Oreochromis niloticus: one gene and its partners. The protein of the gene in region 1 binds, or shares a complex with, the protein of each later gene. Links are inferred from orthologs where the notes say so. Each region holds a gene or a part of one and is shown on either strand. Other genes may lie near its edges.

What was found. Proteins that work in one complex are often made in the same cells at the same time.
Region 2: nup205 (region 1) and nup160 share a complex: the UniProt entries of both Homo sapiens proteins name them as parts of the nuclear pore complex. The link is inferred for Oreochromis niloticus from reciprocal best matches to the Homo sapiens genes NUP205 and NUP160.
Region 3: nup205 (region 1) and cetn3 share a complex: the UniProt entries of both Homo sapiens proteins name them as parts of the nuclear pore complex. The link is inferred for Oreochromis niloticus from reciprocal best matches to the Homo sapiens genes NUP205 and CETN3.

What each region holds. Positions count from the first base shown.
Region 1 is NC_031972.2:61,902,095-61,909,968, forward strand, and holds the start of nup205 (nuclear pore complex protein Nup205), read right to left. Parts: upstream 3,077-7,874; 5' UTR 2,881-3,076; coding exon 2,853-2,880; intron 2,334-2,852; coding exon 2,191-2,333; intron 2,027-2,190; coding exon 1,855-2,026; intron 1,685-1,854; coding exon 1,540-1,684; intron 1,242-1,539; coding exon 1,082-1,241; intron 884-1,081; coding exon 655-883; intron 561-654; coding exon 396-560; intron 292-395; coding exon 116-291; intron 1-115. Other genes in the region: agk (acylglycerol kinase, mitochondrial), read left to right, coding at 3,469-3,578, 3,662-3,701, 3,783-3,862, 3,952-4,027, 4,129-4,254, 4,375-4,469, 4,625-4,694. UniProt on the Homo sapiens protein: Plays a role in the nuclear pore complex (NPC) assembly and/or maintenance. May anchor NUP62 and other nucleoporins, but not NUP153 and TPR, to the NPC.
Region 2 is NC_031972.2:2,109,242-2,116,229, forward strand, and holds the start of nup160 (nuclear pore complex protein Nup160), read right to left. Parts: upstream 3,032-6,988; 5' UTR 2,962-3,031; coding exon 2,871-2,961; intron 2,431-2,870; coding exon 2,322-2,430; intron 2,248-2,321; coding exon 2,037-2,247; intron 1,379-2,036; coding exon 1,156-1,378; intron 1,080-1,155; coding exon 889-1,079; intron 801-888; coding exon 564-800; intron 478-563; coding exon 380-477; intron 266-379; coding exon 181-265; intron 103-180; coding exon 34-102; intron 1-33. UniProt on the Homo sapiens protein: Functions as a component of the nuclear pore complex (NPC). Involved in poly(A)+ RNA transport.
Region 3 is NC_031972.2:8,996,930-9,004,533, reverse strand, and holds the start of cetn3 (centrin-3), read right to left. Parts: upstream 3,032-7,604; 5' UTR 2,874-3,031; coding exon 2,857-2,873; intron 1,651-2,856; coding exon 1,515-1,650; intron 1,310-1,514; coding exon 1,195-1,309; intron 1,075-1,194; coding exon 883-1,074; intron 1-882. UniProt on the Homo sapiens protein: Plays a fundamental role in microtubule-organizing center structure and function. As a component of the TREX-2 complex, involved in the export of mRNAs to the cytoplasm through the nuclear pores.

The DNA.
Region 1 (7,874 bases):
AATAAATAAATGAAACGTGATAATTACAGAATGTTGAACCTGATAAGTTAAAAACCATATTATAGTTTTACATGTCAGTCTTAAGTTAAAAGCACGCACCTGCAGCATCTCTTACCTTCATTGGCATAAGAGCCAGAAAGTCTGTGATGAGTGAATGGACGCGGCGGATGTAAAACTCTTCCTGGGAAAAACTCTCACATCCCAGCATGCCCTCTTTCATAAACAAGAAGACATCGCCCAGGAGAGCCTGATCAGCCAGAGCCTCATCTGCCTCAGTGAACTCAACCAGTGCTGCACAAAAATGCACATACAATAACATGAAATGGCTGTTATCTCAGAAAACGTAAGAATCAGAAGGTGATTTTTAATGGAGACTCAAGGAATGCAGTACTTACCAGAGCCCTGTGGCAGCTGGGAAAGGACTCTCAGCGACAGAGCCCACGCCAGTCGACACACGGCCTGCAGCCCCGGAAGCTTCCATGGTTGGCTGTCCATCAGGCGACTGTGCACTGCAGACACATACTGCCTTTCTGTCAGCAATGGAAGTGCCTGGAGCAAATCTGGAGGAAAACACATGCAGGCAGTTGATTTTTGGAATCAGTGATTTCAACAGGAAAAAAAGAAAGAAAACCAAAACCATCAACACGAACTTACCATCTCTATCTTCAGTCCCCTGCTCTATAAAACTGACATCCAAGCAGTAGAGCAGTGCCATAACCAGAGCCAGGCTAACACTGTCCAGTGAGCCATCAGCCTGAGCTGTAACTGTCTCCAGGTGGCCAATGAGTGCCAGAGTGTCATCTTTTGACAGGGGTGATTGGCAGGTCCATGAAAACAGGCTGTCTGCAAGCGCCTGTCGGCATTCCTTGATGAGGTCTGCAACCTGGTGACAGATGCAGAAACTGCATGTAATCCCCATTTTCCATAATCCACTCTGCATTCCTACACTCTGTGTTTCTATTTGAGCTGTGTTGAGAAAATTAGTGGCATTGCATTGTTCCTTTAACACTGGAAAAACAAAACAAAGCAATTTGAAGATTTATATCTTTGGTTAAAATTTATACAAAAGATTACTTCACACCTCCTTCCTGTGCTTTTCGTTGCCCAATCCGCGTTCTTTCTGCAGTCGTTCAAACTCACGCGTCACGCTTATCTCTGACACCAAAGTTAGGATGCGTTTGGTCAGACCTTGGCTCATGAGCTCATCTGTAAATCGTGTTGTCAGAGCCACCAGCTCTCCACTGAAGGAGAAAACAAATAACATTGTCAAACATAAGATTCAAATAGAATAGAACAGAATAGAATAATCCTTTAATTGTCCCACAAGGGGAAATTTGGATGTAACAGCAGCAAGAAAGACACATATACAAACAAAAAGTACACAGGACACAGAACAGAAACATACACAATTTTTACACATTCACATCAAGGGCAATGGTTACCAAAAAAATACAAGCAGGACAAAAACACCTTCCTCATACGGGACTTTAACAGCATTTATCAATGTTTCATTGTACTACTTTTAGACACCGTTATTACCTAAGATCCAGGGTGAAGGTCTTTCCCTGTCGTGACTGAATGAGCGTGCGCAGAGAGTTGGCCATACAAAGTTTTCCATCCCAGTAAAGTAACACGGCCACTAGGCCTCGTGTCAGTCCTGGAAAATAGGGCTGCTGCTGTTCACCTGGAGAGAGATGATTACATAAAAGAAACAGAGCTCAATCTCAGTGTTTGATCAGGACAGTCCATACACTACAACCTGCTACACAATTAACTACAGTGACACTTTACCTATAAGATGAAATGGAAATAATTATGCTGGATAAAGTTGGGGATTTTTTTCCTTCATGTTACCTGCCAAGAGAAGCTCCAAAGCTGCCAACTCTCCAATGTCAAAGAGATCACTGAGGATGAAAGCCTCTGTCAGAAGCTGTTCTGGAAGGAGCCGTGACCCCTGCTGACCTTGGATGGCGATGCCTTCTGTGCTGGCTTTACGCACTTTCTCTCTTTGCTCTGCACTTTTTGGCTAAAAATGAAGAGAAGACAAGACGCTGTTAATATCAGAGTCTCGGAGGACAGACTGTAACTACAAGCTACACATTGGGGAAAAAAAACAAAACAAAAAACCACCCGTGACCTGCATGTGTGAGAAATGACAGTGTTTTAAATTACCCATTCATGCCATCTTACCGGGTTCTTAAAAAGTGACAGAAAGTGAGGTTTGTGTTTCTTCAGCTGTAGGTCTAGGAGGTGAACACTCTCGGGCTGTCTCCTTAACACAGCTCCGTCCACTGTCTCCCAGAGCTCTTTCAGCGGCCCCCACAGACTGGCTCCTGAGGTTGTAAATAAGCTTTCAGATGTCTTGGGCCGTCACACAAGTATGCAAACAACTAATTTCTAGTCATTTCGAGTTAATTTGTTATAACCATGCTTGTTAACACCACTGCGGCATTTTGCACAGCACTATAAAAGATTCCAGAAGTATAGTACAGACACTTCTTTGCCTCCCCCGAGTTGTTAGTTTCAATTTTATTTCAAGCCGGTCGGCTGATCTATCAGACAAGTCTTGTCATCCCTCCCTGTTATTTCAGGTTTAATGTGGGAATTAGTTCGGTGTAAATGAGTAAAACTAATTTGTTATTTAACCTCAACTAACTTAACGTCTATTTGCTATGGGTAAGGCTAAGCTATGTTAGCCTGACAGACCCAACAACATGTGGTCAAAACATATCATAATCGACAAATCTGCGGCCAAGAAGCGCATATATCTGCGCTTCTATGCATAACAGAGGTTGAGATTTGATGCAATAACTAAACAAAATCCAATTATTTAATAAAATATACACCCTTACCCGAATTTACCGCCATCTGCGCCGCCATGATACGCTCACTAAGTTGGACAGAAGCTTCTGGGTTTGTGCCGGTGTGAAATTTAAAACAATCAATTCTGTAACGCTTTGGTCACTTTTAGTGAACAACGAATCTATCAGTCCTAATTTAATGTCCTCGCTGGTTAGTTGAGTAGATTAAATATCTTAGAAGATTTCATGGTTATGTGGGCTCTTTTCAGGCGGGGTCCTCCGAATGATGGCCCCGTCCCCATTAGCAACTATGGGAATTGTAGTTCTTGTAAGCTAAAGCGTTTAAGGCATTTAATTAAATCTACAATCTGTAAACTTAAAAAAAAATAATTAAAAAATAAAATATTTTTAGGAGACTTATATAAAGCAATACTTGAAAAAAATATGCAACTAGAAATAGTTCCGAAAAAAAACAAAACACAAGCGGAACCATGAGTTTGAGGCTCCTGTTTTGCTTCCAACTGTTTTGACGGTACACCAAAATGTCCATGCTAGTCTTATATCTGTGAGTCTGTGACCGCTGTGATGAAAATGTGTCGTTTATGACGTTTAATGATCTGTACCACTGCGCTAAAATTGAGGTTTTGAAAACAGTTTAATCACAGTCATGGCTCGAGTCGTGAAAGTGTTTCGGACTTTGCGAAATCATTGGAAGAAAAGCACATTTGCTGTGTGTGTCTTGTCCTACGGTGGATACTGGCTGTATGGAAAACACTGGTGGGTATTTCATGCTATGAATGAGACAGAGTGCACAAATTCCCGTTTTCGTGTCCTAAATGTTATGTATAATATTTCATCAGTGACAGCGTCCTGCGCAGAGAGGCGTGTCTACTAGCCAGGGTAAGGTGTCACAAAATTATTACCCCAAAACACAAGTTTCCTCTTTGTGACAGTTATCCTTAACATCATCATTTGTGTTAGGAATATGGACAGCAGCAGATAGCACCACAGGAGCGAATCAGGAAAGCAACTGTGATTTTGAACCCTGCAGCTTGCAACGGGTAAGACGCATAATCTCCAGACATCTCTCTGAGAGTCTTGTTTAATTCTTCTCAGAATATTTACAGCTTCCTGTGTTAATTTTCTCCAGGAAAGCCAACAACCTATTTGAAAAGAATGCTGCTCCTATTTTACACCTGGCTGGTGTGCAGATTACAGTAGTCAAGGTAATGTTTTCTATTTCAATTGGATATTTATCAGGTAATAGTGTCTCTGAGAGTGTCACAGAGCATGACATCACATCTAGATATTACATATCCCTCTACAGACAGACTATGAAGGCCAGGCAAAAAAACTGATCGAGTTAATGGAAGAAACAGACATGCTGATCGTGGCTGGAGGAGATGGCACGTTGCAGGAAGTGATCACAGGTTTACTGAGAAGGCCAGACCAAGTAGGTGTAATGTAATATAGTAGCTGTGTTAATCTGACATCATCTGTCTGTAATAACTGTATTCGGTCTGATACTTTAAGTAATTAAATCTTTCTTTTGGTGGATGTTTTCTGACCACAGGACGTCTTCAGTAAGACACCAATTGGATTCATTCCACTAGGCTCCCATAATTCCCTCAGTCCAAGTCTTCATCTCCTCAGTGACAACAAGGTCAAGTAAGTAATGTTTCAGCATCACACACAAAAAGATCATTACATATTCCCACGACAAACTTCACTGGGTTGTTATCATGTCACTCAGCAAATATATAGTACAGAATTCCTGATTTCTTCCATTAACTAGAATGTTTTTAATGTCATTCATTTTCCAGGGACATCACATCAGCAACACTGTCAATACTGAAGGGAGAAACTGTACCGCTGGATGTGCTCCAAATCAAAGTGAGAAACTGCTTATATATTGCTCTACACAGCCTTAAAGTTACAAACTAAATCTGTACTTATTTTAAAAAATCTTGCTGTTTTTAACAGCCAATATTAAAACAAGTGAGTAAGCCGGTAAACTGGATTCATAAAGCACATTTTAAAAATTACAAAGTTATTTAATATTTATTTTAAAAGCCATTAGGTAAAAAATATAGATATTTTTAAAAACATATATGAATATTTATTATAATGAAAGAAAATTACAAGAAAAAAAATGAGTTTTATCGGTTTTTGTGAGTATTTTTTTTTTTTTTTAATTTTCCAATGTGACATTATTTTTCCAGTTTAAAAATATATACATTCATTTATTTTGATGATTTTCATTTATTCTCCTTTTGTACCACCCAAACTTATTTATTCATTGACTTTCTTTTCATATTTTGAATACATGTTGGGCTAAACGTAAACATAAACTACTATTTTTAATTTTCTTCTTAATATTTAATATTCTCTTTTGCCATGTTGATGACTTTAAATTCAGCAGAAGAAATAAGCAAATTTAAATTCAGGTCTCCATGCAAATTATTTCATGTCCAAGGTGTGTAGTAATTAAAAAAAAAAGTTCTTCCCAGAGGCTTCAGGATCCTTGGCACTTGGGCTGTGCCATATCATATCATCTGCGATAATATACATTTTCCATGATATAAAAGTGTCATATTGCAGTATCTTTCCCATCTCAGTGACACCTGTTTATGTTTCCTAGCACACACAACTGAAAGACAAGCAAGACATATCTGACAGCAAGCGCTGAATTTCAGTTTTCAATTACAGGGAGTGCAGAATTATTAGGCAAATGAGTATTTTGTCCACATCATCCTCTTCATGCATGTTGTCTTACTCCAAGCTGTATAGGCTCAAAAGCCTACTACCAATTAAGCATATTAGGTGATGTGCATCTCTGTAATGAGAAGGGGTGTGGTCTAATGACATCAACACCCTATATCAGGTGTGCATAATTATTAGGCAACTTCCTTTCCTTTGGCAAAATGGGTCAAACGAAGGACTTGACAGGCTCAGAAAAGTCAAAAATAGTGAGATATCTTGCAGAGGGATGCAGCAGTCTTAAATTGCAAAGCTTCTGAAGCGTGATCATCGAACAATCAAGAGTTTCATTCAAAATAGTCAACAGGGTCGCAAGAAGCGTGTGGAAAAACCAAGGCGCAAAATAACTGCCCATGAACTGAGAAAAGTCAAGCGTGCAGCTGCCAAGATGCCACTTGCCACCAGTTTGGCCATATTTCAGAGCTGCAACATCACTGGAGTGCCCAAAAGCACAAGGTGTGCAATACTCAGAGACATGGCCAAGGTAAGAAAGGCTGAAAGATGACCACCACTGAACAAGACACACAAGCTGAAACGTCAAGACTGGGCCAAGAAATATCTCAAGACTGATTTTTCTAAGGTTTTATGGACTGATGAAATGAGAGTGAGTCTTGATGGGCCAGATGGATGGGCCCGTGGCTGGATTGGTAAAGGGCAGAGAGCTCCAGTCCGACTCAGACGCCAGCAAGGTGGAGGTGGAGTACTGGTTTGGGCTGGTATCATCAAAGATGAGCTTGTGGGGCCTTTTCGGGTTGAGGATGGAGTCAAGCTCAACTCCCAGTCCTACTGCCAGTTTCTGGAAGACACCTTCTTCAAGCAGTGGTACAGGAAGAAGTCTGCATCCTTCAAGAAAAACATGATTTTCATGCAGGACAATGCTCCATCACACGCGTCCAAGTACTCCACAGCGTGGCTGGCAAGAAAGGGTATAAAAGAAGAAAAACTAATGACATGGCCTCCTTGTTCACCTGATCTGAACCCCATTGAGAACCTGTGGTCCATCATCAAATGTGAGATTTACAAGGAGGGAAAACAGTACACCTCTCTGAACAGTGTCTGGGTGGCTGTGGTTGCTGCTGCACGCAATGTTGATGGTGAACAGATCAAAACACTGACAGAATCCATGGATGGCAGGCTTTTGAGTGTCCTTGCAAAGAAAGGTGGCTATATTGGTCGCTGATTTGTTTTTGTTTTGTTTTTGAATGTCAGAAATGTATATTTGTGAATGTGGAGATGTTATATTGGTTTCACTGGTAAATTGAAATGGGTATATATTTGTTTTTTGTTAAGTTGCCTAATAATTATGCACAGTAATAGTCACCTGCACACACAGATATCCCCCTAAAATAGCTAAAACTAAAAACTACTTCCAAAAACATTCAGCTTTGATATTAATGAGTTTTTTGGGTTCATTGAGAACATGGTTGTTGTTCAATAATAAAATTATTCCTCAAAAATACAACTTGCCTAATAATTCTGCACTCCCTGTAGGGTTCAGTAAATAGGGAGATACTTCAACAACCTCCAAAAAAGCACAGATCAAAACAAACAAAGAAACTCTGTGGAGTATAACCAGGTCAAGAAGGAGGAGAGACTAGCAGCTGGTGATGTGCTACCCAAAAGTAAACAGATGACGCAACTGCATACCGCTGCCATGTGATAGGAAGAGCAAACAGTGGATGGAAATTACTGGCGTGGTTACATGGTGGAAAAACATGACTTTAAGCAGCTCGACCCACGACACCAAATCCCAGGTAGAAAATATGTTTCAGTTTTGTTATGTGACAACATTGTGCAGCTCCTAATGCAGAGAATCATATACCCATCTCTTTTCCTGCAAATGGTCAATAGTGGCCACCCCAATAAAGTAAATAAAGTATGCAATGGCAAGTTAGTGACTGTTTCTGTAATTAAAAGTAGAGATGTGCGGTACTCTGATTCTAGACTCAGTCAAACTGAGAGTGTTTGACTCTTAGAATATAAAGTAACAAATACATATAATATAAAACAAACAAAATACAATAAAAATCAGTAAATACATAAATAAATTGACAACTAGCTAAGTGAGGAAGTAAATACAAAGCTGAATGCATAATTTTTAAAAAAGTACTTTACATATACATTTTGTTACCCTTGATATTTAATGATGAAACTATTCTCAGTGCTATAAAAGTGGGAATTTAAACATGAGACTTGTGTTCAAATGTAGTTTTTACCCCTCAGCTGTAAAAGACTGACGGACTATTGCTGTCAATACCCACGTTTGTGAATGTGAGAACTGGAGAACGAGGTGACATGTCTACTGAAAATCTC
Region 2 (6,988 bases), about 60 Mb from region 1:
CAGAGTCAATCAGACACACAGCTAGATTCTCACCTGCAGGGCTTTCACAATGGCCGAGGCTGTGAAACGAAGGGGAGAGAAGAGAACCTCGAGATATGTCTCCTGTCAGGGGGTCAGAGGTCACATGGTCAGCACTACCTGTTCATTAAAACACTGGTTACTGGTCTGAACTGGTCTCACCCGGGGGTCCAGGTCCACTCCGATGTGGATTTCTTCTTCGGGTGGAGGCTGAACAAACACCTGGTTCCACTGAGCCGCCGTGTTGCTGTGAAACATGCCGACAGGTGAGGAACATGTGCGGAGACAGATGATGGAAACAGGTAGAGAACATGGAAATATCAGCAGAGGACAGGAGGAAGACACTGGCATTTCGACTCACTGCTCGAAGCTGATGTATTTGACCACGGTGGCGTTGGATTCGTCCACCCACAGAGCCCAGATGTCCGAGGAGGTCAGCGTGAAGTCCACAAGCGTCTCCTGTTCACAGAGAGCGGTTCAGAATGCAGAAAGTAACCACAAACACAAAAACGAGGCTCGCCCCCTGGATCCGCCCGTGCGTTCACCTGTGTACTGAACAGTGTGGAGATGTGCTCAAGGCTGTAGCGGTTGTTGTCTGTGGCGACCAGCTGCAACACGGTGAACTGCCCCCGCTGAGGGACGGCGAGGTAGACGCACACGCACAAGCCTGTGGTGGAGGAGAACGCCAGGCGCAGGCGGTGACCATGGCCCGGCAGGCGCTTCACGCCCTTACACGCCGGCATGTACTCCAACATGTCCGCCTCCAGCAGACAGCCATGCTCCTGAGGGGGCGGAAGTCACGTCAGCACATGGCGACTCAAACGTTACACATCAACAATGTGTTTGTGTGCGTGTGTGTGATGTCATCACCCTGAGCGACCACATGCGCAGCCGGTGGTCCTGACACAGCGCAAAGATGAAGGAGTCTTCCTCCAGCTCCCGCACGGCCAGGCTGAGCACGAGGTCGGCCGGGCTGTGCTCGCCGCGGATTGCCGTGGGCATCCACCCGGACAGCCGCTGCATCACAGAGCTCCTCTTCAACTCCAGCACCGACATGTTGCCTGGAAACGGCGAGCACACGTCTTAAAATCCGGCCGAGGTACCACGCCCACATTAAACATAGAAATTCCCCCTCACCCTGAGAATCGGGCGATGGCAGGGTGACCACCGTGATGCCTCCTGCAGGAGAAGCCAGAGCGAAGTGTGCGTCTCCGTGGTAACTGAGCCAGGCGAACGAAGCGCCGGGACTTGCCGTGGTTCCCACTGAGCTGGGGATGAGGGCGCTGTGGGCGGGGTCCTGCAGGCTCAGCTTCCCCACATCAGTGAAGATGGACTGCATGTGCAACTCTGTGACCAGCTCCTACACACGCACAGAGGAGTGTTCGAGGTCAGTTATCTCGTTAACAGTTACCGTAGTAATTGTGCTAACAGCTGTATGATTGTATCATTTGCACACACGCGTATTTTCTACTGTGTATGGTGTCCATTTGATTTGATTAGTACGACTTTTTGTCCTGCTCAGAGCTGCCCTCTGGTGGGCGCCTCAGGCCAGTCAGGTCCCACACCTCCAGACTCTAACAGCGTCCATTTGGACACTTAACAACAGCCTACCCCCACCCACCTCACCATGGTCTGAGTGTCCTCCATCACTCACACACAGACTCTGTTCAGTCCCTTTGCTCTCCATCGTGCGCCTTCCTCTGGTATTTTTAAAAACATTTCTTCTGTTTGTTATGTTTTGCTGATTTCTACATTGATTGTAATATTACATTTCACGTTCACCTAAATCTGTTTCTATGGTAACCATGGTAACTATGGTAATCTCACACGGCTGTTGGTAGTTTGGTATCAGACCTTAAAGTCTGAGTCATCTGTCGTGTCCATAGTGACACTTTCATTAATCAATTGATAACGGTAATCAGTAATCAACAACCGCACGCTGTCCTGCAGCTGGTGGTGTGGCTTCTTCACGGACCATAGGACAGCATGCAGGCTGAGGGTCACCGTCAGGTACTCACGCTGCGGTACATGCGTGTGGGGTGGGGCAACAGCAGCCTGTGGACGCTGTGATTGGTGGAGATGAGGATGACGACGTTGCTGAGCGTCTCCTGGATGGTGACTCCTCCGGGCAGGACAGCACAGTGGGTGAAGCGGAGCCGGACGGCGTTGTTCAGCAAGTTGGTGTCCAGAGACTGCTCCACCAGCACCACCGAGTCCCCAGACGTGGACCTGCATGAGTGAGAGTGTTAGCAGAGAACGGCTGACAGCACCTGCAGAGCACCTGGAGAGCAGCTGGTACCCACCAGTGGATGAACCTGTTGCTGATGACCGACAGCAGCTTCCCGCTCTCCTCATAATGAAACGCTCCCGCGCTGTCAGGAAACTTCAGGCTGCCAGGTGCTGCGCTCACACCTGCAGACCGGAAAGACAGGTGAGTCCGGTTTGAACAGGTTCTTGACCTGCAGGTGTCTGAGGCTCTGATCAGCAAGTCACAGTGTTTATCAGATCAATAATCAGCTGCTTCCGGAGGCGCAGACACCATCGACCGCAGGTCAAGGTCACGTGATCAGCGCGGGTTCACGCGTGACAAGGTGCGCAACAGGTGAGCAGCTAACGGAGCTAGCTGATACTAAACGGAGACGGAGGAAGATTTACTCGCTCGCTTGCTCAGCAGTGCGCGCTCACCTAGTCAGGTGAGAGTTCGGAAGAAAAAACAACAACAACAGAAACACCTCCAGGCCGCGCGCGGCTAGCAGGAAGCTAACACGCTAACGCCAGCAGGTACGGGCCGTTAGGCTGTTAGCTCCCTGCTAGCCGCCGTCAGGGGCACGCAGGTGAAGTGCAGGAGTTACCTAGATTCGCAGTGAGCTCGCGCGGCCTCCGCGCGGCCTCTCTCTCGAACCCGCAGATCTCGATGTAGCTGCGCTCCAACGCCGCCGCCATCTTATCCTCGTGCCGCTGCGGCCGCGCGCTGCGCTTTCAAACCCACTTCCGCCTCCAGCTCCTTCTTCTTCTAAGATTCATTTAAGGTAGGAGAACCACTGCGAGGCGCGCCACCTGCCGGATCGGATGACTGACGTCATCATTAAACAATACAAATCCGACTCCGTTTTTTTTGTATGTCTGCTTTGACCAATCAGAGCCCAGAAGGAAATTAACATTATTAGATGTTCTCATTAGATTTTATATGTGTGTGTGTGTGTGTGTGTGTGTCGGATTTTGATTGGCCAACACATTTTGGGGATGGCATAGGCACCGATCGGTTTTCTATCGCCCATTTGCTGGGAGTAAGGGCGCCCTCTGTTTGCGAGGTGCGCCTGCTGCTTGCTGCACAGGGAGGAGAGGGCGGGGCGGCGGTATGGGCTCAAAATGTGGTCATAAATATTTTGTACTTGTAAATCAGGATTTGTATGTGTAAAAAGAATTTGTGTGTGTGTAAAAAAGATTTGTATGTGTAAAAAGAATTTGTGTGTGTGTGTGTAAAAAAGATTTGTATGTGTAAAAAGATTTGTATGTGTAAAAAGAATTTGTGTGTGCGTAAAAAAGATTTGTGTGTGGACTTAGCCAAAAAAACCCTGCAAGTTACAAGTACGAATTTTGACCCTATTTTTCTTCCTTTCATCTGATTGGTCAATGTCATGTCAATCACAAATGTAACAATCCAATCAGAGAAGAGATGGGTTTGGCTGTCGGAGGGGCGCTTCTTTGAACTGCAGGTCCTTGAAGGGAATAAATGCCCTTTTATATGCCAACCATTGACTGTAGAAAACATGGACGACGCGACAGCTCTCCAAAAATGAAGCCAAAATGTCTCTATCGCCCCCTGGTGTCTGGCTGCAGTATAGGTCATAAACCCCGCCTCCTCCATGTTAGCGGATGGGACTGGGGTCAGACTAAAATAAATTTATTCTCCTTAGATAATTTTTTTCCAAAGATTCTGTCTTTTGTTATCAATAGTTCTCATCATGCTGATTGATGTCCAAGGGGTCTCCTTTCCCATAAGTTTGATTCTCATTCCTACAGCGGCGATGTTAAATTGGGGTGAAACGTCATCATAGCGGCTTTGACTGACAGCTGCAGTCACGGAAGAAACTTGCGTATCTGTGTGCGGGAATAGCAGATAGAGCGTAGGCTCTGAGAGGAGGGCCAGCGTTTACGTTCTGAAAACACGACCGAGTGTTTTAACTTGACAGCCTGAGGTGTTCTTCAGTAAACTGGACTACCCGACAGAAGGACCCGAGGCCCCGCTGCACTTTTTCGGTAAGTTAATCGTGTTTGTAAGCTAATCCGTAACTACCGTCCTTAGCTAGGTCCTGAGACCTAGCTAGCTAAAATGAGCACTCGGCTGTCAGGGTTCGTTTAGCTAATCTGTGCAGGTGAATGAACTTACTAAAGAAATTAAGAGAAACGTTCCGGGCTAATCAGTCACTAATTACTGTTACTGCACTTTTATTACAAGTATTATACTGTAAAAGCAACAGGCTGCACGCTGCTTCAGCTCCTGTGCAGAGCTGAATATCAAATATATGCAAACAACAGCATGTTTTCAGTCTCTTGCCACATCTGTAAAGACAGTAACATTTTTTTAAAAGCTTGTACTTCAGTAACTCCTCATTAATCAGGAACTATGGATTAAAGGACTGTAGAGTACTGTAATACTGAAAAAAATGTAAGAGAAGAACTTCAGATCCTGAGTGTGTGAGGACAGAAGAATCAGCTTTATTTCAATTTTGAGGGATAAAATTTATATTTGAGTTTGTGATGGTTCTGTTCTCTTTGTGATTACAGGGGCTGCCCTCAGATTCAGACCTCAGCACCACCCAGTGACAGCAGACAGATCATCCAACATGTTCACATGTTAACTGCAAAATGAACTGATGAAAACAGTACAAAGGTTAAAGTACCACATGTGCTGTCAGTGAAAGCTGCAGCTTTATTGATAAAGTTAAAAACAAAAACCCAAAAGGATTAATCACTCATGTAACTGTGTCACTATATATCAGCATTAACAGGACCTCAGTTTGGTGTTTCACAAAGCTGCTGATCTCAGACCTGCACAGCTTCCGTTTTAAACACTTGATGTACTCAGCTGCATGAAGAGCATATGAGATTTTCTCTGGCACAATTAAATAAAACCTGATGAAGGTCAAAGGTCGTCACTTGTATGTTGAACTACAAACTTGTCATCTGGAATTCTTTCACAGTTTTTTGCAGATAGTGTGTTATTTACCATAAAGTGATTCAGAGTTATTCATACCAGAGTAACCAGAGAGGATCATATATTTTTAAATATATAACTTTCTACAGGACTGAATATAATATCTTTATGTAAAAGTCTGGAGCCTCTGGGGAGTATCCGAGTATTTATAACATTACACAAACCAAAGGTCTCCATCACAGTGTTCATGAAATGCTGGGTTTATCCATCTCCTGGATCGGGCCTATGGAGGAGTGCTGAAGATTTCCCTGTGAGGGAGCTGCTGGTGAAGATCATGAGTCCTGCTTGATCAATGCGATGAGCTTCAGTCTTCCTGGTGTTTCTTAAATGAAGCCTCTCTCAGTCAGTCAACAGAACTTCTGGCACAGGACAGCTGTGATGAAAGAAAAGGAAGAAGTTTCTCCAAACCTCTGGACCCAGGAAACCCAGCTTGGTCCTGATGGTCTCCCTCACTAGTTTCTCCCCAGGGTGAATGTAGCTGTTGATATAATATGGACTCTGTTATTAAATGAAAAGAACAAATTAGACTACACTACTGAAACGTTCTGCTGATGTTTTTAAAGTTTCCATGTTACCAGGCTGTAGAGGGCTCTGAAGATTTAAACCGTTTTAGATCCATTACACTCACAGTCTTATGTTAAAATCTCAAAGGACAGCATTATATTTTTGATATTAACAGTAACTCTGGGCCTCTGTAGAGTGTGCAGATTATCTCATCGCTGTCTAAAAATGGATAAAAACAAACATAAGAAGTGCTGAATCCTTCAATAACACAGACTATTAGAGTAGCAGGTGTGTAGCATCTAGCTAGCAACAAGCCTCCAACACAGCGCGTATGCTAGCGGCTAATCTAGCAAACGAATTAACAACAAAGTGATTTTAGAACTATAAGATGATAAGCTGTGTGTCTTTTTATAACAGTGACATGGTTGTATTTACCTTAATTAAACGAGTCATCAGTCGCGGTAAACCAGCAAAAAAACTCGAGCAGCCGGGCTACGTAAAAAGTGTAGGGGGGCGTGTTTACGGTCAAGTCCAGCGGGTGTGTGGGCGGGAGCGTTACACAGTCGCTCCACCTCAAGTCACTACTGCGCAGACTCTGGCTCCAAATTTGCAAGATGGCAGCCTCCACAAGCGGGGTATTTTGGCTTCATTTTTGCACAATGGGAGGAGGCGGAGTCGCGTCGTCCATGTTTTCTACAGTCAATGATGCCAACCCAGCATTTTCCTTCATCACCATGAAGGAAAACAGTCTGTGGTCGTCCGAGTTTGGTGATTTTTGTGTCACAGGTTTACGTGCTTAATACAGGGACTTCCACAGCCTTTTCAACAGCGCTGCAGACCGCGGGGAGGGGGCAGTGTTTTGGAAATGACAGTCTTCACTACAAAGCTTTCTTCGTTATGAATTAGCATACATGTTTTTATTGAACATCTAAAGAACTAGCAAAAAAACCAAACTCTTGTAGAGGACATAAAGTCAGAGATAGAAACGACAAGGAGCAGGTGCATTTAGTACAGGTAGAGCTGCTGCAAAAAACCACAGAGCTCAGCAGCCAGCGCAACAAATTCTGGATCCTTTGCTTTTAGTTAGCATTAGCAGCACATCCTGCGTCTGATGTGAAAGGACTTTTATGCTGCGCATTAGCAGCACATCCTGCGTCTGATGTGAAAGGACTTTTATGCTGCACACTGTGACTCACAGCAATGGTCCCGGGTCAACCCTGACTTTGTGTTAAACTAATCCTAAAGTAA
Region 3 (7,604 bases), about 53 Mb from region 1:
ACTCTTATTATTCTTTCTGGGTCACAAAATAAACATTTAACATATTTTCAGGCGAGAATGTAGCTGTGTAAACCTCAAATATCTGCTCAGTTTATCAAGACACCACATATTTTCAAAAGCGCTCCGACGTTTTCGGAGACGTCTGTTACCCACCAGCTCGATAGCTAGCCGGGATTCAAGGCTCATTGAAGCCAGTGAGAGCACCAGATTCCCGGCAAATCGTTTTCAAACATCACCACCGTCTTTCGCTACTCAGGTTAAAAACGATATATAAGTCACTTAGAAAACTTAAAAATGTTATTGTTTGGCTTCTTTTAGTATTTTATTTGTTCCTGAGTAAATCAGTTTGGCTGAGATTAAAGTTATAGTTTTTACACAGCTGAATAAACGTCAAGCAGACAACTGATTATCAGAAGTGTGAGATGGTCGAGAATATACTCCGGTGTCCTGTTATATTTTAGATAGCAAGGAGCAGACGGCTGAGTTTATTAAACTTCACTGAAACAATCTGCAAATTTCACTAAAATTTAATAAACTATCATCTTATCTTTATTTTTAGTTAGTACATACCTTAAACACTTAAAGCTGTAAGCTAATAATAGTTATATAAGAGCAGATGCATGCTAGTGCGTTGTACGTCCAACGGATGCATGATCTGATTAGTCGACTAATCGCAAAAATAATCGGTGACTAATCGACTATCAAAATAATCGTTTGTGGCAGCCCTAGTTCATAGGCCTCTTTTGTACGTACACCAAAACAAACAAAAGTCCTGTTCATCCACTCCTGCTCACTTAAACAAACTGAACGCGTTTCCCTTCTAGGGATTAAATGTATAGCAATAATTGTCAATGTCGAAGAAAAGAGCAAGTGCTGACTTACTTTCACCATCTCCGTCAGTATCGAACTCCTCGATCATGCTGCGGAGCTCTTCATCGCTGATATTCTCCCCAAGTTCCCGAGCCACACGTCTCAGGTTCCTCAAACTGATCTTTCCTGATTCGTCATCATCAAACAGCTTAAAGGCTTTCATGATCTCCTCTTTCGGGTCTCGCTCTAGGATGCGATCAGTCACTGCAGAACCATACATAACATGCATCAGAGTTACTGAAACACTTCAGTTAAAGATGTCAGAGATTTTCTTCCTCTTGGTCCCTGTCTGCACAGGGGCACATGCAGGGAAGGCAAACTTACCAACTTCACTGAAGTCCTCAAATGTTATTTTCCCATTTCCCTCTCTGTCATAATCCTTAAGGATCTTGAGAACATCCACTTTCTTCACTTCAAAGCCGAGTGCACGCATTGCCACCTGTTGACAGTTTGTGACAGTGAGATGTTTCTGTATTCCTACAGCAGCACAGCAGATGTAAACATGTGAGGAAAAACTGCTTTTTGAGTTCATTATGACAGACATATGGCACATATTAACATACTATACACAGCAGATTAAATACCGCTTCACTGGACTATTTTTGGCTGTCAAACTTGTTTTCCTCTCATCATCCAGTGCTCACCTTCAGCTCGTGGTAGTCAATTTCTTTGTCCTTGTCTGTGTCAAACAACTCAAATGCTTCTTTGATTTCATGTTTCTGATCCTCAGTGAGTTCTCTCCTCTTCTTACGCTTTGTTTTGTCTGCCATGAGCTCCGTTCTGGAGAAAGACAGATGCAGCATATGTTACACAAATGTACACAGGTTTCAGCTGCAATCATATTGCAAACTTTTTTCTTTAACTTAAGTGACATATTTATCCGCTGTTACCCCAAATTAAAGCTTCAATACAGAGTATGTTGTACAGCATATGGCAGAACACCACAGCTTTACAGAAGAAGGTAGCAAAGGGCTGACAAAACACACAATAGACAAAGACGCAGGCAGTGCACTCAGTGTTTAGACAACGTACACAGCCTTGTGATCAGTTTTACCCTAACAACTGAGAAAACGAACTTAAAATCTGTAACTATTTACAGACTGAAGTTTACAAGTATCTACACTCTGTGTTTGCAACACAAGCAGAGTGCAGTACATATATCGTTAGCAATGTAACGAAGTATCTACGACCAAATACTTATTCAGTAAAATCTAATTTATCAGCAACTTAACCACATGATAGAGTAATACTCTGACACCTGTTTATCTAAATATCAATAACATTACAAAATAACATAACAAAACAAATTGACTGTAGTATCATTATAACATTAATTGTCAGATACACATAACACTGTGAAGTGTTTGGCTGACAGCTGATACAGCTACTTTCCTCGGTTAGATTTTCTCTGTTTTTGGTCCTTTTCCCCCTTTCTGTGCCAATTCAACACAAGATTCTCCATGTATAATATTTAATATAAGGTTTCCCCCTTACAATTCCACTACACATACACAAAAGTGTATGTGCACTGAATAAAATGTAATCAGCAACAATGTTGGTCAAGAATGCTCATTTGTTTAAGAAAAAAAAGAGAAAAAACGCTCCTTTGTACTGGTACTGATGACTTTCTGCTGTGGCTATGCGGTCGATGCTTACTGAACGTGTACGTCTGTAGTGGATTGGATGAAAGACAAACGATGCACAGGGGTGGCATCTGAACAGTAGTTTTGCAACTAAATGTGGCCTATAGTACAGTGCATTGTAGTCGTCCAAGTCACATTCAGAAAAACAAACAAAAAAAAAAAACAGTAAGCAGCTAACGTCGACTCTACACTGATTAGTAGCTCCAGCTAATTCCTATGCAATATCCCTCCCGAACAAACACAGCAAAGTTAACATGCTAGCGCCTCTTATGTGAAAGAGCTAGCGACTAGCTCTGTGCGCTGGTATGAGGGATGTTGGAATAACTGCGACAAACCGGCTTACCTCAGAGACAGGCTCATTGTGAGGGGATTTAACGGCCCTGAAACAATTACTCTTATTACTGTCACCAAATACAATCTCACCGAGGCCGACACACAACAATTCCGTTTATCCGCGCTCACATTCACATTTCCTATTGGTATCTGGTCATCAGGCAGCAGCAAATTGCTTTCTGATTGGCTAGTGTTCTTCTTCTTCTGCTGCTTTTTTTTTTTTTTTTTTTTTTTTAATATTTCCTCTAGTGCAATCGCAGCGGATCGGAGCAGTATCGCCACCAGCTACACGTGTGCTGTACTGGATAACAATACAGTAGATGTGCACACGTGTATTGCAAATCAATACAAATCATTTAAACTACGAGGATTATAACACGTAAAGGTCCCTAAAATGTAGTAAATATTTAAGTATAATTCTGAACAGTATTCACCATAGAACAAGATCCTGTGAGTATTTTTTAGCGCATTTTATTGTGTGCCAGCTATGTTTAAAACCTATTTTATACGAGGCTGCGACTAATTACTATTTAAATTAATGTTTAAAATTTACTTGACATTATTATTATTATTATTATTATTATTATTATTATTATTATTGTTATTTTAGCAGCAGTAGTAGTAGTAGTAGTATTTCAACTGCTGAACAAAAAGAATATCCTATGTAGGATAAAGTATTTTTAATATTGTTGTGCTGATATTTTCTTGGTAAGTTTATTGATTTTTTTTCTAAGCATTTAGAAAATGATGCTGGACCTTTGCAGTCAATGCAAAAAGAAAATGGAATACCATGAAAAATGTTCATATTTGAAAATCTAGAACCATGAAAATTTTTTCACGTGTTCACATATGTGTATTTTATGTCTCTGGTCTTCCTACTCTAGACCTCCTCCACCTGAATAAAAAAATACATTTTCATTTTATTTATTTCTTCAGCAATCAGTAGTTGTTTTTTCATTTGTTTGTTGTGTCTGTTTTAGTCATTTGTGTCTCTTTGTAATCTTTTCAGATTTTATTGACTTTTTAACAAGAACTCTCAACTTCAAACAGAAACCCTGCAGGAGTCTTTTAAATCTGTAACAATTAATTTTTTAAATTAACATATTTTAAGGTGTTTTGTACACAATTACCTTCATATAAGATAAATGCTGTGCAATGAAAAATCTGTTTCTCTCTGAAATGCAAAGTATGGATTATTGTTTGAGAAGATCACTTCAAGTGTATGTATTTTATACATACACTTTAACGATCTTCAATCTGAATCTTTATTTGTCTGCAGATATCATAGTGTGAACCTGTTGATGAGGTGCAGACATGAGTTTGATATCAGTAGCAGGTGCATCCCCAGCACTTCCTGAATGGGCATCTTTCTCCTGCTAACCAAATGAGCTTCTCTGTTTTCTATCACCTACACTTTCAATTCTAACACTTACAGCTTTCTTTTATAAAAGCCACATATACCCACTGGCACACACATGCATGCAATACTTTATGCTGCTCTAAGTACTTCATAACTATATAGAGGTGGGACTCAAACCTCCAACTTGGCACTCAATCTCCTCTTCTGCCTGAGCCACAGCCACCCCCTAGTACTCCATCATTACTGTATAACTGAGGTATTAATTACCTCAAGGGATGAAAAATGAAGGCAGCGCTTTAAGTGCCAAAACCTACAGTTTCTCTTACAAGACATTAGCTGCATTGCTCTATTATATCTCTATTTAGCAGTGTACAGTGTATACCACTTATGATAAAAACTGCAGTCTTTTCTCTAAATTAGATAAAGACATCTGCTGTCTAAAACTGAGTATTGCAATAATGATGAGAAAGCCTCTCTCTTCACTGAGCCTTTTGTTAGGGCAGCAGAGGGATTATGCTGTGATTAACCTCCAAATGAACATTACTTACACCTTGAAGATATCTCATGCTTATTTCCTCCATCATGTTGTAGCCTGCATTTTCACTGTGGGTTCAAGATTTGCTTTCCTTACCAAAATTTCTATAAAATGCCATAAAAGCTTGCATTAGCAAAAAGTATTTGCATATTTGTTTTGAGGCAAGCAGTTAATATTTCACATACATTAAACCAAACCAAATTAGAAAACTGGTCTACCTTTTTAATAACTTCACTGAGATTGAACTAGGCTTTATTTATTTATTTATTTTTGTCAGCCAAACATGGGAACACTGTGTATAACGGCAACAAATTCATCTCATTAAGAGTGTTAGAGCTGAATTGAGACACACACCTGGGGACATCCACTGAGTCTGTTTCTTGTAGAACTGAGTTCAACTTAAACAGTCAGCTGTGGAACAGCAGACAGAGGCTTCTTGTGCTGCTTATGTGAGCCACCTCTGTCTTCAGCAATAGAGAAACACCTATGAAACAAAACATACCAATGCTTGCTATGCTTCCCATCAGTTATTTTGCACTGCTCAAATATATTACACACAGTGTCCACTATATTAGGAATGGCTCCTTACTTTCAGAAAGACTCAGTTCTGTATTAAAGGTGAACCTTCTTTGATAATCTGCTAACATATGCTAGCATGTCATTGCATCACATCAGTTAAGCAGATCTTTAAGCGCTTCCCAAAGGTGTTCTGTGAGACTGAGACCTAATGAATGGGGAGGCCAATGAACTAAACACAGAGTTTACTCCATACAAAATTACCCCATACAACCCAACTTGAAAAATGTAATCGACACAGTCCCTCTAAGAGATACTATCTGCGCGAAAGGTAATAAGTATCCGCCTATCATGTTTTCCAGGATGTTAATTCATGCTTTTCTGCCAAAGACACTGCTCATTTCTGTGCAAGGTGTCTTTTGGCAGTGATCTCTGACACGCTGAGTTATGGGATTGCTGTGAGGAGCGTATGATCTTTTGGCATGCAGGGAACGTCCATGAAACCAAAACACTATCTTTCCCTAAACCTAACCAAGTAGTTCTCAGAACATTAACCTAAAAACATAGTGTTTATTGACTAACTCTAACAAACTAGTTTCAAGTTTCTAAACTTAAAAAGCAAAACAAACAAGACACACACTCTCCTGACTGATAAGTCTGGAAAGTATGTATAATCAGTAAAATGATCAAACATTAGGAAAAACTCTTGATAGGGAGCTTTTGTGAGATGATCTCTGTCATTTATCTCATCACAAGTGTTTCAGATATTTTAGTCACAGCCAGATAGTTCCAAAAACATGCATCCTCCATTATCTGCTGGTTCTAAATTTGCAATAGATGAAGCAAGGTGTTTAAATACTTAAGCACATATAATAAAAGCTGTATGAGTAGGTGAATGTCGTTTATTGTATAGAGTGCTTGGGGTTCATTCATTGACAATTCTTCTGAATGCAGACATTTCAGATAAAATGTTTCTAGATTTGCTTATCTTTCCAGTCCATATGAATGTTGTCTCTTCAAAGACTTTCTTTACCACTGTCATGAACTTCCTACAGATAGTTCTCACCGGCAGTGACAGCACTGTGTGAAGTAGGTGCCACTGGGTCTCTGGTTATCTCCAAGTGAGTCTCCTGTTTCACATGTGTATGCTGAGATAGAAGCTGGAAGGAAAGCACTCACTCACCCAGGAAAGAAAGTGGATCTCTGTTCCTCAAAGTCTCTTCTTAACTTGATAATGTCCTGATGTCCAACCAGGCGTAAACGGTTCTTGTAAATCTACCTAGAGAGGCTTCATTCCCTTTTGCACGAGCAAAATGACAGAAATGACAAACGGCTCATAACCAAACTACACCCTGCTGCGGTGAATGGGCTCCCTCGAGTGCAGTAAAGCATCATACTGAAGAAGAGATGGGTGCGACTGTTCCTGCACAGATGTTCCATCGGTTTGAACATGGTGAGATTAAATGACCAGTAATTATTTGTTGAGTTTAAAGATGTGTTTGATTCAGATAATTGAAAATAGATTGTCGTTATGTATTGTCATTTTAAGAGAACTCTGAAGGTTTATTGTTTTATGAGATTTATGTTCATCGTCATAGAAATTTGTGGCTTGGTCTTTAATTTGTAGACACTGCAGCTTTCAAAAATGATATTCAAATCTAGAAATAGTTTCAGCATTACAGTGGAAAACCCAGAGTTCACTGTTAGGCTTTCAATTGGGCTGTTGCTGCAAAATATTGTTTCACAAACATAACAGATGGACTAAGCAGACCAAATGAATTACAGTCTTAAAAGTCAAAACGCATGAACACATGATCAGCTACAAACACAAAGGACATGTAGTTGTTCTTATTTTACTGCTTTTAATAGTATTTGGAGGGAAAAAAATCCCGGGCTGTTTACCCGAGAATTCTGGAAAATTTTGCCTTGCCATGACTATTCCAATATCCTCCTCTGCATGTCCTCCATAAATCTTCTCCTCTTGGTAATGTCTGGAAAAACAAATACCTACAGCATATGAGAGAAATTGGCCAAAGGATGGGTCATTGGCATCGTTCACTGGTTTATGTACTTCTGAAAACTGAAGCGTGGCATTTTTAGATTAGCTGCCTCTTTTGTTTGTTTTTTTAACTTGACCTTACAGACAAGGGTTGGATCTAACAGTTTTATTTATGGAAAATTCTTGGGCTCCTTCCTGTGATGTTGTAAGCTAAGGTCTTGAGTTTGTAATGTGAAAACATGCTAACAAAGTAGCACCTCGTCAGTCACTGTCATCATAGCAGGCAGTGGCAAGCAGAGGTAGGATGCAAACACAGCACTCAGAAGCAAAGCAGTAACTAAGAGAGTC